Linked DNA regions of Sus scrofa. The main gene of each other region encodes a partner of the protein of the gene in region 2 in a complex. Links are inferred from orthologs where the notes say so. Each region holds a gene or a part of one and is shown on either strand. Other genes may lie near its edges.

What was found.
Region 1: the proteins of CDC42 (region 2) and ARHGAP1 are in contact, whole or in part, in a crystal structure (PDB 1GRN), measured with the Homo sapiens proteins. The link is inferred for Sus scrofa from reciprocal best matches to the Homo sapiens genes CDC42 and ARHGAP1. Residues at the interface, in NP_001034891.1 of Homo sapiens: Asp11, Gly12, Ala13, Tyr32, Val33, Pro34, Val36, Phe37, Gly60, Gln61, Glu62, Asp63, Tyr64, Arg66, Leu67, Leu70, Ser88, Glu91, Asn92, Glu95, Lys96, Asn132; in NP_004299.1 of Homo sapiens: Glu278, Gly279, Phe281, Arg282, Arg283, Ser284, Ala285, Asn286, Thr287, Gln288, Asn309, Glu310, Val316, Lys319, Arg323, Asn385, Lys386, Met387, Asn391, Val394, Val395, Pro398, Asn399, Trp402, Ala403, Lys404, Ala406, Ala407, Thr409, Leu410.
Region 3: CDC42 (region 2) and CRK share a complex: the UniProt entries of both Homo sapiens proteins name them as parts of the collagen stimulated complex. The link is inferred for Sus scrofa from reciprocal best matches to the Homo sapiens genes CDC42 and CRK.

The regions. Positions count from the first base shown.
Region 1 is NC_010444.4:15,833,006-15,836,752, reverse strand, and holds the start of ARHGAP1 (rho GTPase-activating protein 1), read right to left. Parts: upstream 2,346-3,747; 5' UTR 2,214-2,345; exon of another isoform or gene 2,010-2,213; intron 1-2,009. Other genes in the region: ZNF408 (zinc finger protein 408), read left to right, coding at 2,446-2,563, 2,869-3,146. UniProt on the Homo sapiens protein: GTPase activator for the Rho, Rac and Cdc42 proteins, converting them to the putatively inactive GDP-bound state. Cdc42 seems to be the preferred substrate.
Region 2 is NC_010448.4:80,033,475-80,037,221, reverse strand, and holds the start of CDC42 (cell division control protein 42 homolog), read right to left. Parts: upstream 2,188-3,747; 5' UTR 2,072-2,187; intron 1-2,071. UniProt on the Homo sapiens protein: Plasma membrane-associated small GTPase which cycles between an active GTP-bound and an inactive GDP-bound state. In active state binds to a variety of effector proteins to regulate cellular responses. Involved in epithelial cell polarization processes.
Region 3 is NC_010454.4:47,671,592-47,675,238, forward strand, and holds part of CRK (adapter molecule crk), read right to left. Parts: intron 2,801-3,647; coding exon 2,265-2,800; intron 1-2,264. UniProt on the Homo sapiens protein: Involved in cell branching and adhesion mediated by BCAR1-CRK-RAPGEF1 signaling and activation of RAP1.

The DNA.
Region 1 (3,747 bases), on a different chromosome or scaffold from region 2:
CCAGACACCAAAAGCTCCTTCAGCCTTGCCCACAACTATTCCAGAAGTCTTTTTGCACACAGTGGGTGCTTGATGAAGTGACAAAAAAATAGAAAAAAGAAAAAAAAAAAAAGGCAGGGAATGAGATACACGGAGAACTGGATTATAGTCCTGACTGATTTGCAAAGATGCTGGGCAGTCCTTTTCCTATCTAGGCTTAAATTTCCTCATCTATCTCATCTATAGAAGTGAAGACTCCTCCCAGAAATATAATTCTCCAGCATTCTAAAATACTTGTGCTGAAGGGAACAACAGGATTAGAAGGGACAGCTGGGAGCTAAAGTATGTGTGAGGGAGGGAGAGGGACACTCTAAAAGGGAGACAAACTTGAACTCCACCTCTTCCAGTAACTCTTCTATTTTGTTAGTTCTTCCAGAACTGACCCCTCCCCCACCCTATACGCTCCTTTTCCAGCATAACTAATCACAGTTGCTTCCACCTCCCAGCCAGCCTGGCCTCTCTCACTACCCTCCAGCCCACAGCTGTTGCCCCTTGTGAGGCCAGAAGCTGAGCTCCCATTCAGTGGGAAGGGGGAGAGAAGCTAGTGCAGGGAACTTCTAACATAGAGTCACGGAAATGAAGTATCCTGGCTGCCTAAGACTCCTGTCACAGTCCTGCTTCACTCTGCAAAATATGTCTTACTCTCAAATTAACGTTTCTCTTCTCAGGAGATAAAATATGTACCTTTCCTAAATCCTTCAAGACTCACTTTAGGCAGAGGTTTTACCTTTGGGAAGTCCTGGAGTTCTCTGGAATTCTGATGAACTGTCTGGACTCATTCCCCAAAAATCAGCATACTCATGAAATCTTGCATGAAATTTTAAGGGGTTCACAGACCCTCTTAGAATCACTGTTTAAGAATCCCTGACCTGGAGTTCCCACTGTGGCGCAGTGGGTTAAGAACCTCACTGCAGGGGTTTGGATCGCTGTGAAGTTCTATCCCGGGTGGGAGCAGTTGGTTCAAGGATCTGGTGTTGCCACAGCACAGGTCAGCTACTGCTGGGATTCAATCCCTGGCCCATGGAACTTCCATGTGCTGCGGGTGTGACCATTAAAAACAAACAAACAGCCTTGACCTACTCAAAATTACATCTGGCACAGAGTAGATGCTCAGTCATTTGCTGAATTACTGAAGGAATCAATTTGTATCCTAAGAGGAAAAGGGAAGCAACCACGATGAACTGGATACAAATTATCTTTTCACATCAGCACCAGAGAAGTACAGTTCCAGAAATGTGAAGACCAGAAAAAATAAGAGTCATACAGTAAAGTCAAGATTTTAATCCATGTCTATCTAAGGTGGTCTCTTTGTGCAGGTCAATCCTTCAATACTTCTCTTAAGTGACTGTCATTCATATGATTCTCAAAGTTCTACAAAAGGGCAAAGTAAAGCTTCTCTAAACTCCTCCAAGGAGAACTGAAATAACTTGAAATCATATTCTCTGGAATTGTGATAGGCCTCCTAGTTAGGGCTCCAGAATTGCAAAAATGCAAACCCCACAATACAAAGCAAGCCTTTCAACTACAATCACGTTTGCATAAAGCCTCATGGTTCACAAAAACCGGATTGGGTGCTACAATCCTGTCTCACAGGTTAAGAAAGAGACATGAAAGCGTGGCCTAATAAGTAGCAAGGTGGAACACTTCGCCCGAATTTCTTGTTTTAGCACTTCCCCAGATCGGACGAGGGAGACTTCCCCTTCCCATGAGTTTACTCGATGACAGCGAGCGAGAGGCCAGGAAGAAGCCAGCAAAAGAAGCAAAGTCCTCTCGCTGCAGACCCGCGAGTGGGGCAGAATCCCGGCAGCGGGAAGGCCAGGTTCCCAGGCCCCATTCCACCCCTGCTCCCTTCCTCGGATCCGCTTGGATGCTCCCCATCCGGACCCCATCCCTTCAAATGACCTGGCCAGTCCTTTTCCTTCCCGCCCCGCCCCCAACCTCCCAGGCAGAACTTGCACCCCGCAGCTCACCGTGGTCGGGTACCGCTCCCTCTGCCACGCCTGTCAAAGATCGGCAAACATCCGGCTCCGAGGTGGAACGGGAACCGCCCCCTCCCTGTCTCTTCACTCCCAACCACTTCCGCCACACCTCCAACCCACTTCCGACCCGCTGCCCGGTCCAAACATGGCCTTTCCAGGATCCCCGCCCACTTCCTGTACGTGCTGCTCACGTGCCTCCTTGGCTGCGGTGGAGTAGAACCGTCCGATTCGTCCCTCCCAAAAGGAGGCCCTGGAACAGTTAGTTCCGATGTTCCGGGTACTCGAATCTCTGGTGGACCTCCGGAATCCTTAGCTCGTATTCTTCTCGGACAGAGATTCGCCTCACCAGAATTCCCAAACTCCTGGTCTTGTGCACCAGTTAAGGCTGACTCTTACGATTCGTTCCCGAGAGGAAATTTGGGTGTCAATGACTGTTTCCGGGAGGAGCCTAGAAGGTGACACTCACTTCCGGCGGAGGGAGGCTTTTCGATCCGGGATGGAGGAGGCGGAGGAGCTTCTCTCGGCGAAGGGAAGACTGCAGTTCGGTGAGCGGCCTGCGGTGTCTCCGACCCTCGGCTCAGATATTCCTGACGTTCTCTGGTCAACTCTTATCCCCCGACCCTTTTCCTCCCGAGCCTGGCATCCTCCTCCGGTGCCCTCAAAATCTCGGGGGCTTCTTTTAAGAGCCCTCGAAGTCCCTCAGGTCTTTTCGGGGCCCCTTAGAGTCTTTATATATCTCTCAGACTCTTGAGGCCTAGCTGGACCTAGGGTTTTCTCCCTCATCTTTCCCCACCCCACTACCTCTTGGGCGGCTTCCTCACTTCTTCACTGTCTTCCTCTCTCGCTGCAGTCCCCGGCCCACGCCTGGACCCGGACTCAGGATGGAGCCCTTCCGGAGAAGGCTGTGCACAGGGACCCAAAGATTTCCCAGCCAGACCGACCCGAGCCATCCTCGCTCTAAAGAGCCTCCCCCGGGGCTTGGCCCTAGGTCCCTCACTGACCGAGGAACAGCGCTTGGGGGTCTGGTGTGTCGGGGAACCCTTGCAGCCGGGACTGCTCTGGGGACCACTGGAAGAGGAGTCTGTCTCTAAGCAGAAGGGTGATGCAGCGGAAAGAGAGCAAAAAGAGGTATTAAGGGATCGGGCATCTCCCTTCCATGATTGAAAATTTAGTTCAGACATTTCTTGTTAGAAGATGCAGAGTATTTAAAGGGATAGGAGATGGTTTGGCCCCCTTCTGTCCAGGACTGTCTTTTCTCCTTCCTTGCAGTAATTAAGAGGTGCAAAAAATTGTTAAAAGCTGAATTAGTAGAGTGTTAGCAGTTACAAAAGTCAAGAACAAAGGTTTTGGGAATTAAAAAGCCCCTGGGATCAAATCTCAGCTTTGTCACTTAGCTGGTCAGATGGCATGTAAAATAAAGGAATGGCTCTTTATTTTAATCCTCCAGGATTATTTGGAGGGAAAGGTGAAACAGCACAGGTAAAAGATTTCATTGCATAACTCCTGAAAAAATTTTAAATTTGAGGTACCTCTTACTTCTGTTTGGTACTCATTGAAAGGAAGTAATATGTTCAATTCAGTAATTTTTCACACTTTGGGAGGGAGGTGTGGGGACAATTTTTTTTTTTTTGGCCTTTACTGAAGGAAAATTCAGACAGTGCAGTCTACAGAGAGGCAGAACCAGAGACCATTAACCTTCCAGGGGGCTTCATCTTAGGTCTGTGTTGGG
Region 2 (3,747 bases):
GCTGATATTTAAGCTAGGCTGTAACACCTGCCTCAGATTCCCAAAAATTTAAATTTAACTGAGTACAGATGTTGTTATTATGTGAAAACATTTTAAGAACGTGCTATCTTTTGGGTCTTGGAAGAAATTACTGAGGAAGAGCTCATTTTTAATACACAGTTAATTACCAGTCTCTTATCACCTTGCCTCAATCTAAAAAAATTAAGACTCAAGAAATATGGCAGCAGGTAAGTGTTCCATTTTTATCTTCTTAAAAAGATACATTATGGCAAATAAATATATTTTAGAAGATCCAAGCTCCACACCTATCCAATCATCTACCAACACCTACACACTACAGAAAGCTGATGTAAACCTACCACTTTTAAGTGTTTCTTAACAAGCAATCTGTTCTCTCTATACAAACGAGAAACAATAGGAAAGCGCTTGTTCCAACATGAACTATCTTTACAACAATGCATTACACAACTGGATCTCATTTGCTTTACAATGCTAACATTTTTCTGTATTACACTACCCTGCAGTCAATGAAGGATATACAATTTAGGATGTACCTAACATTCTGTGATCCCAAGTCTGAAAATATTACTCACTTAAGTTTATTTGGTTAAAAATCCAAAACATTTTTAATTACAAAATTAAACTGACTACCAAGCAAAGATTAAGCGTAAATAGAACTGATTCTCTTTTCACACACCCTTACCACAAAAAGTGCACATGAGTTGACTTAGGTACATATTCCGAATCGGTAATTCATATGGGAGAAGTTAAACAGTCTGTGAATTGCATCTTAGACCAAAGAAATGCTTCCACAAATAAATTCATCTCATTCGGGTACAGTCAAAGGGATCTTTAAAGTTACTGCCTACGCAAGCGGCTGCAGAAGGTGTTGTCTTACGTTTTATTCTCTGGCACAAGTTGATCCGGAGATTTTAAACCCTCCTGGCTTTCAGATGCATATGAGACGGCCAGGATTTCAAAAGATCATCTCTGATGCGTTGGGAAACAGGTTGGCTAGGCCAATGGGTGACCCAACCAAGGCTACAAAATGCTGTCTTAATTTAGTGAGTCCCTGACTTGTAGGAGTTAAAAACTCTCACCCCTTATATTGCGATGACGTAATCTTCCACACTGCATTTCTCTGGGATTAAAGGGGAGGAAAAACACAAACGAACAAAGAAATTTTCCCCCTAATGAGAGGAACTGGGCAAAAGGCTGAACGACAGTTTCGGGAGGTGGTTAGGTAACTCCCTGAAAGGGAAGCTTCAGCTGAAAACGCAGGGAGAGAGTTGGAGAAGCAAACGGAAACGGCATCAGGAACTCGACCTAAGGCAGGAATAAAGGAGACCGGAGAAGCGGCGACCAGGCCCACCCAGTGGGACCAGGCGTCCAGCTGCGGGACCGCGGAGGGAGGCGCGTCGCAGGCAAACCCGGGGCGGTCAGCTAGCCGCCCGCTCCCGGCCGCCACTTCCCGGCCGCGCTCGCAATCCGCTCCCCTCCCCCCCGCCCGCCGCAAAATGTCTGCGGCCGCGCCGGGCGAAGCAGGAAGTCGAGGCCGGGGCGCGGGGGCAGACCCGGCCTGGGAGCCCGGGCCACCGCCACCCCGGGCAGCCCGGGCGCCCGCGAGCGTCTCCGCAGCTCCCGGCGCCCGGGCCCGCCGTCCGCCTCAGGGGTCCGCAGGGCCGGGGGGAGGGGAGCCGGGCGGCCGGGATGGGTGTGACCCCTTCCTTCCGCCGCTGCCGGGTGACAGCACGGCCGCGCCCTCGGCCCGGCACCCCACAGCAGGGCCGCACACCTCTCGGCCGACGTGCGCCCCCCGCCTTGCCCGCCGCGACTTCCTCGCCTCCGTCCTCGGACAGAACCCGGACCCGCGTTCGCCCGAACGGCGCTGCGCGAGCCGGGCACCCCCCCCCCCCCCACACACACACACACTCCACGCCCCGCGCTCCCAAGCTTCCCAGGAACCCAGACGCGGGGCGTCCCCGTGGACTGGGAAAGGCCGGGCGCGGCGCAGCGGAAACGGGACGGTGGGGAACCCGCTCCCGCGGGGAGCCTAGGACCCCGCACTCACCTCAGCTCCTCAGCCGGGGCGTTGGCAGCAATGCGCGGGGTCTCCTCAGCTGCGGACAGGGGCACGCGCCTGACGTCAGCACGCAGACGACGCAGCGTTGGGAGCCCGCGGAAGTGGGAGGGATCCGAGGCGAAAAGAGGCCGAGCTGTTCCGGGCGGGGCTTGAATTCATCCGCTCCCCAGGTTCAGGCAGCCTAGCGCGCACGCGCCAGGCGGTCCTGCTTGCTCTTTCGTGTGTTGCGCTTGTAACTGTTTCTCCAGTGGCTGTCATATATTTGTAATAATGCTATAAATGGTCGTTTGCAAAGCACCACAACTAACATTTCTTTTGATCTTTGCACTTTTGCAAAGTATCATCATCCTGATTTTGCAAAGAAGACAGCGGCTACTCGAAAAGGGGCATGACTTGTGACCACAATGCAAGTGGATGGCCCTCTGACTCCCCCGGCCCGTATGGCTTGAGAGCTGAGTGCTCGCTTCACTGCTTCCACCCTACTGTCTCTCGTTCCAGCGACATCCGTCATCAATTGGTTTAGAGACTTCCTCCCCACAACAAGGCCTCAGATTCACAATTTCCCCTGGCTGCCTCCTCTTCACCAGTCCTTCCGTTGGCCCTCTGCCTTCAAATGTCACTGCCTTCCTGATCATCCTATCCTCACAGCACCTGTTTGTCATCCGTCTTCCTTGCCAGTGTGCACACTTCAGAATAGGAGCCTTCTCGGTCTTTTCTCAGATGGTGCCTAGTGTTAGAGGAAAATAGCTTATCTTAAATAATAGTTCTTTATTTTTTTCTTTTTAGGGCTGCACCCCTGGCCTATGGAGGTTCCTAGGCTAGGGGTCAAATTGAAGCTGTAGCTGCTGGCCTACACCACAGCCATAGCAACCCGGGATCCAAGCCTTGTCTGCAACTTACACCACAGCTTAAGGCAACGCCAGATCCTTAGCCCACTGAGCAAGGCCAGGGATAGAACCTGCATCCTCATGGATGGATACTACTCAGATTAGTTTCCTCTGAGCTACGAGGGGAACTACAATAATTCATTTATTGATGACTGCCACAGTTATTTGGCCAAGAAAGACATCTATTTACAATATTTTTAATAGTCATATTTCCCTTCGGACTTTTTTTTTATTGTTTCGAATGTTTCATTTTATTTTATTTTATTTTTTGGTCTTTTTTTTTTTTTTTTTGCCATTTTTTGGGCCGCTCCCACCGCATGTGGAGGTTCCCAGGCTAGGGATCTAATTGGAGCTGTAACCGCCAGCCTACACCAGAGCCACAGCAACGCAGGATCCGAGCGGCATCTGCGACCTATACCACAGCTCACGGCAACGCCGGATCCTTAACCCACTGAGCAAGGCCAGGGATCGAACCCACAACCTCGTGGTTCCTAGTCAGATTCGTTAACCACTGAGCCACAACGGGAACTCCTGGACTTTTTTAATTACACAAGAACTACGTTTTAGAGTGATTACTATAGGTATGATGCTAACATACTATAGGTATGATGCTAACAAATTTGCATCTAAACATAGTAGTTCATGTAAAATTCACAACCACCCTATGGACTAAGAACCATTACCCTCACTATTGATGCAAGCTCAGAGGTGTTAAGGGACTTACCCAAGGTCATCAAGCCAGGCGGTAGCAGAGTTGAGACTCTAGCTGACCCAAAT
Region 3 (3,647 bases), on a different chromosome or scaffold from region 2:
CAATCAACATACATGGCTCAAAATTAACATCCAACTAAAAAAGGAAACTTACTAAAATCATAAACTCGTCTTCTACTTTAATTTTTATTTCACAAGATTTAGGTTTCACAGCAGGAGAGCAGCTCAATCATTTCTGAGCACTAAATAAAGCCTCTAATCAAGGTAGGCATCATTAAGAAACAATTCTCTTCGAGAAAGGAATTGCAAATGGAAGTAAAATTAATGTGATAATTCTCTCCTGGGTGTTGGCTGGCTTGTTCTATGAATGTTATTTTCACACTCCAGTCCAGTGCCAGCAAGGTCTGCAGTAAATGTCAAGAGTCATAATTACCACGTGTACAGCACAGTGTTGCATGTTGCCATTATCTGAACTTAAGCAAAAGTATGAGGCCAGAAACTCCTTATTTCTTCACTGTTTTTCTTACTCTCCAACCACTAAGTGGGAAAAAGTGGTGTGACCTAGACAACATACATCTTATTTCTCATCAAAGCTAAGACACAATACCTTTGAGTTACATGATCTCAAAATATACACACCTTTTATTTTTTATTTATTTATTTATTGTCTTTTTAGGGCAGCAGGTGCAGCATTTGGAAGTACCCAGGCTAGGGGTCAAATCAGAACTGCAGCTGCCAGCCTACGACACAGCAACACCAGATCCAAGCCTCTTCTGCGACCTACACTGCAGCTCACAGACCGACTGATCCCACTGAGCAATGCCAGGGATGAATGCTGGTTCTCATGGATACTAGTTGGGTTCAACACCAATGAGCTACAAGAGAAACTCCAAAATACATCCACCTTAAAAAAAAAAAAAAAACATTTTTGAAGTTCCCGTAATGGCGCAGCAGAAACGAATCTGACTAGGAACCATGAGGTTTCAGGTACAATCCCTGGCCTCGCGCAGTAGGTTAAGGAGCCGGTGTTGCTGTGAGCTGTGGCGTATGTAGGTCGCAGATGCGGCTCGGATCCCTAGTTGCTGTGGCTCTGGAGTAGGCCGGCAGCTACACCTCTGATTAGACCCCTAGCCTGGGAACCTCCATATGCCTCGGGTACAGCCCTAAAAAAGACAAAAGACAAAAACAACCACCACCACCACCACTTTTCAGTCAAACTTGTTAAGAACCAACTAATCCTCCTTTGCATGCGCTATCCAGAATGTAAAAGTACTATCAAATCCAGTACTATCAGAGACTATTTCAAATACCAGCTCATTCTATAGGCTAATGCTCCCACTTAGAGGGCAGCTCCCCTTCCTCCGTGGTATAAACATGACCCAGAAGAAACAAAATTGAGAAGGGAATTCAGCTTACAAGAACACACTTTTGCCCCTCCTCTGCTAACCTGTACTCACATAACTTCAGCCTGTGCTTACGAAAGTTAGCTACTTGCTTACATTCAAGTCACCATATCTAAAAGGCTCTGACACCTGGGATAGTGTGCCCCATCTGTATAAGCTTTTATGCTAAACCACTAGCTCTGCATAACTGAGAAAGAAAGGGAGGGTGGGCAAGAGGAAGAGAAGAGCTAAGAGACAAAGCTGTGAGTGCTCAAGACAGGAATCAATACAATATAATGGCTGGCCAGAGGAGATGGGTTGCCAAGGAGAACCATTAACCAGCGAAAGGCAAAAATCTGCTCCTCAGGAGGAACTGGCTACTTGTCTATAAAATGCTTTAAACAAAGACCAAGTCAACCTGCTGTTCCTTGGAATGAATACTTCTGGGTATCTCTCCATACCTGCACACTTCACTTACCCTCCTGAATTATTTAATGAATGCAATCAATAAATGGTAAGAAACTCCATGCCCTCTAAAGTAAAAATATTCATGGTTTTTTAAGAAAATTCCATTTAAGTATTTTGACTGAGACCACTTATCATACTCAAATCTGTGTCAGCCCATTTTGTCGTAGATAATGATAAACAGAAAAAAAAGAAACAGATTAGAATGTAGATGAGAAAAAATATTTTAGGTTAATTCCTGTGAATTCAGGTGGTGTTATTAAAGTCGTCAAAGTATGGTTTAGTAAATCAATCAGAACATTCCGTTATACAGTTTTAAGCTTACTCATTCCCAAACAGGTTTTCCATGTAAAAGAGAAAACCCAACATTAAATGCCAAAATCAGTACTTAACGGTTCGACATCTACAACAACATCACAATGCTGCCGCTTGTATTTGGCATTGCTACAAAGCTCTAAGAGGTCTGAAAGGGAGACCCTGTAGCAGATCTCTTCTTTCTACATTTTGCACATTATGTACCTCCAAAGCCAAGGCTGTCTTGTCGTAGGCATTAGGGACTCGCTTCTGGATTACCCTGGCATAAATGGGCCCATTCTGGAGGTTAGGGAGCGGAGTGTTGACGCTGGGTTGGGCATAGGGCCCGGGCTCCGGCCCACCCAATGGCTGTGGGTGGGAACCCTCCTGGTTACCTCCAATCAGAGCCGATACTGAGGCGGAGGCAGGTCTATACTTCTCGACGTAAGGGACTGGGATCATCCCCCTCTTGCCTTCGCTGTCCTCCGCATTCCACCACTGCTCTTCAGGCTTATCCCGGATTCTCAGGATGTCTCCTTTCTTAAAGGGAAGATCTTCCTCATCATTCCCATTAAAGTCAAAGAGGGCTCGGACATACTCTGCCTCTTCCTGCCTGAGAATCACTCCACTACCCTGCCTGGATCTGGAAACTGGTTCTATCAACGTTGTAGTGTCCAAATAGTGTATTTTGTAGAATTCCAGTAAAGCAGGCAATGAATCAAATTCTTGATCTCCTATTCGGAGTCTGGAGGGGCTCACCCCTAGAAAAAAAACAGAGCAGGGCATTATTTAGATATACCAGGGATGAAGCGCAGATTTTAAGCATTTCCCACACACATTAATTCAGTCATAAAAAATAAATCTAAATAACCCCTTCTCCTCATAGCAAACTAAAATACTTTGTAGCTCAAACTTTCCCTGGGAAGAAAGATGGCTGTGTCTGTCTGAGGCAGAAAAGGAACAGAAGGCTATGACAGACCAGTCACACCACTCAGAAGCTCTCGTACTGGATCAGACACAGCAGCATGGCCTTTTTGTTCCTTCTCCCAAAATGTTCTGTTGTCATTCCACTTACAAAGTACTAAGGGTTCAAGGCTGTGTTACACTCCTCTTCTGAACCTTGGAAATGTAGCAAACTCCTCTTTTCCATGGGTCCCAGCAAGTGTGCCAGGAAAAGGTGGGGAGAACGTCATCGACGCTAGGTTCATACATTCATCTCTTCACATCTAGACTGGGCAATTCCTAATAAGCAAAAGTTTTGAGGCTATCTTTTCAATCTACAATTACTAATCTCAACTTCATTTCTTTGACAGCTAAAAAAACACTAGAAACTAAAAAGCAAACTGCTTAAACATCAGTTCCCACGATCTTCACTTAAATAAAACATAGAAACTGGATTGTTCCCTTAGAAACAAAAAGTCTTGGAGTTCCCGTCATGCCGTGAGCTGTGGTGTAGGTCACAGATGTGGCTCAGATCCTGTGTTGCTATGGCTGTGGGGTAGGCCGGAGGCTACAGCTCCAATTCGACTTCTAGCCTGGGAACCTCTGTATGCCTCGGCCCTAAAAAGACAAAAGACAAACAAACAAACAGGTCCTGACAAAAGGTAA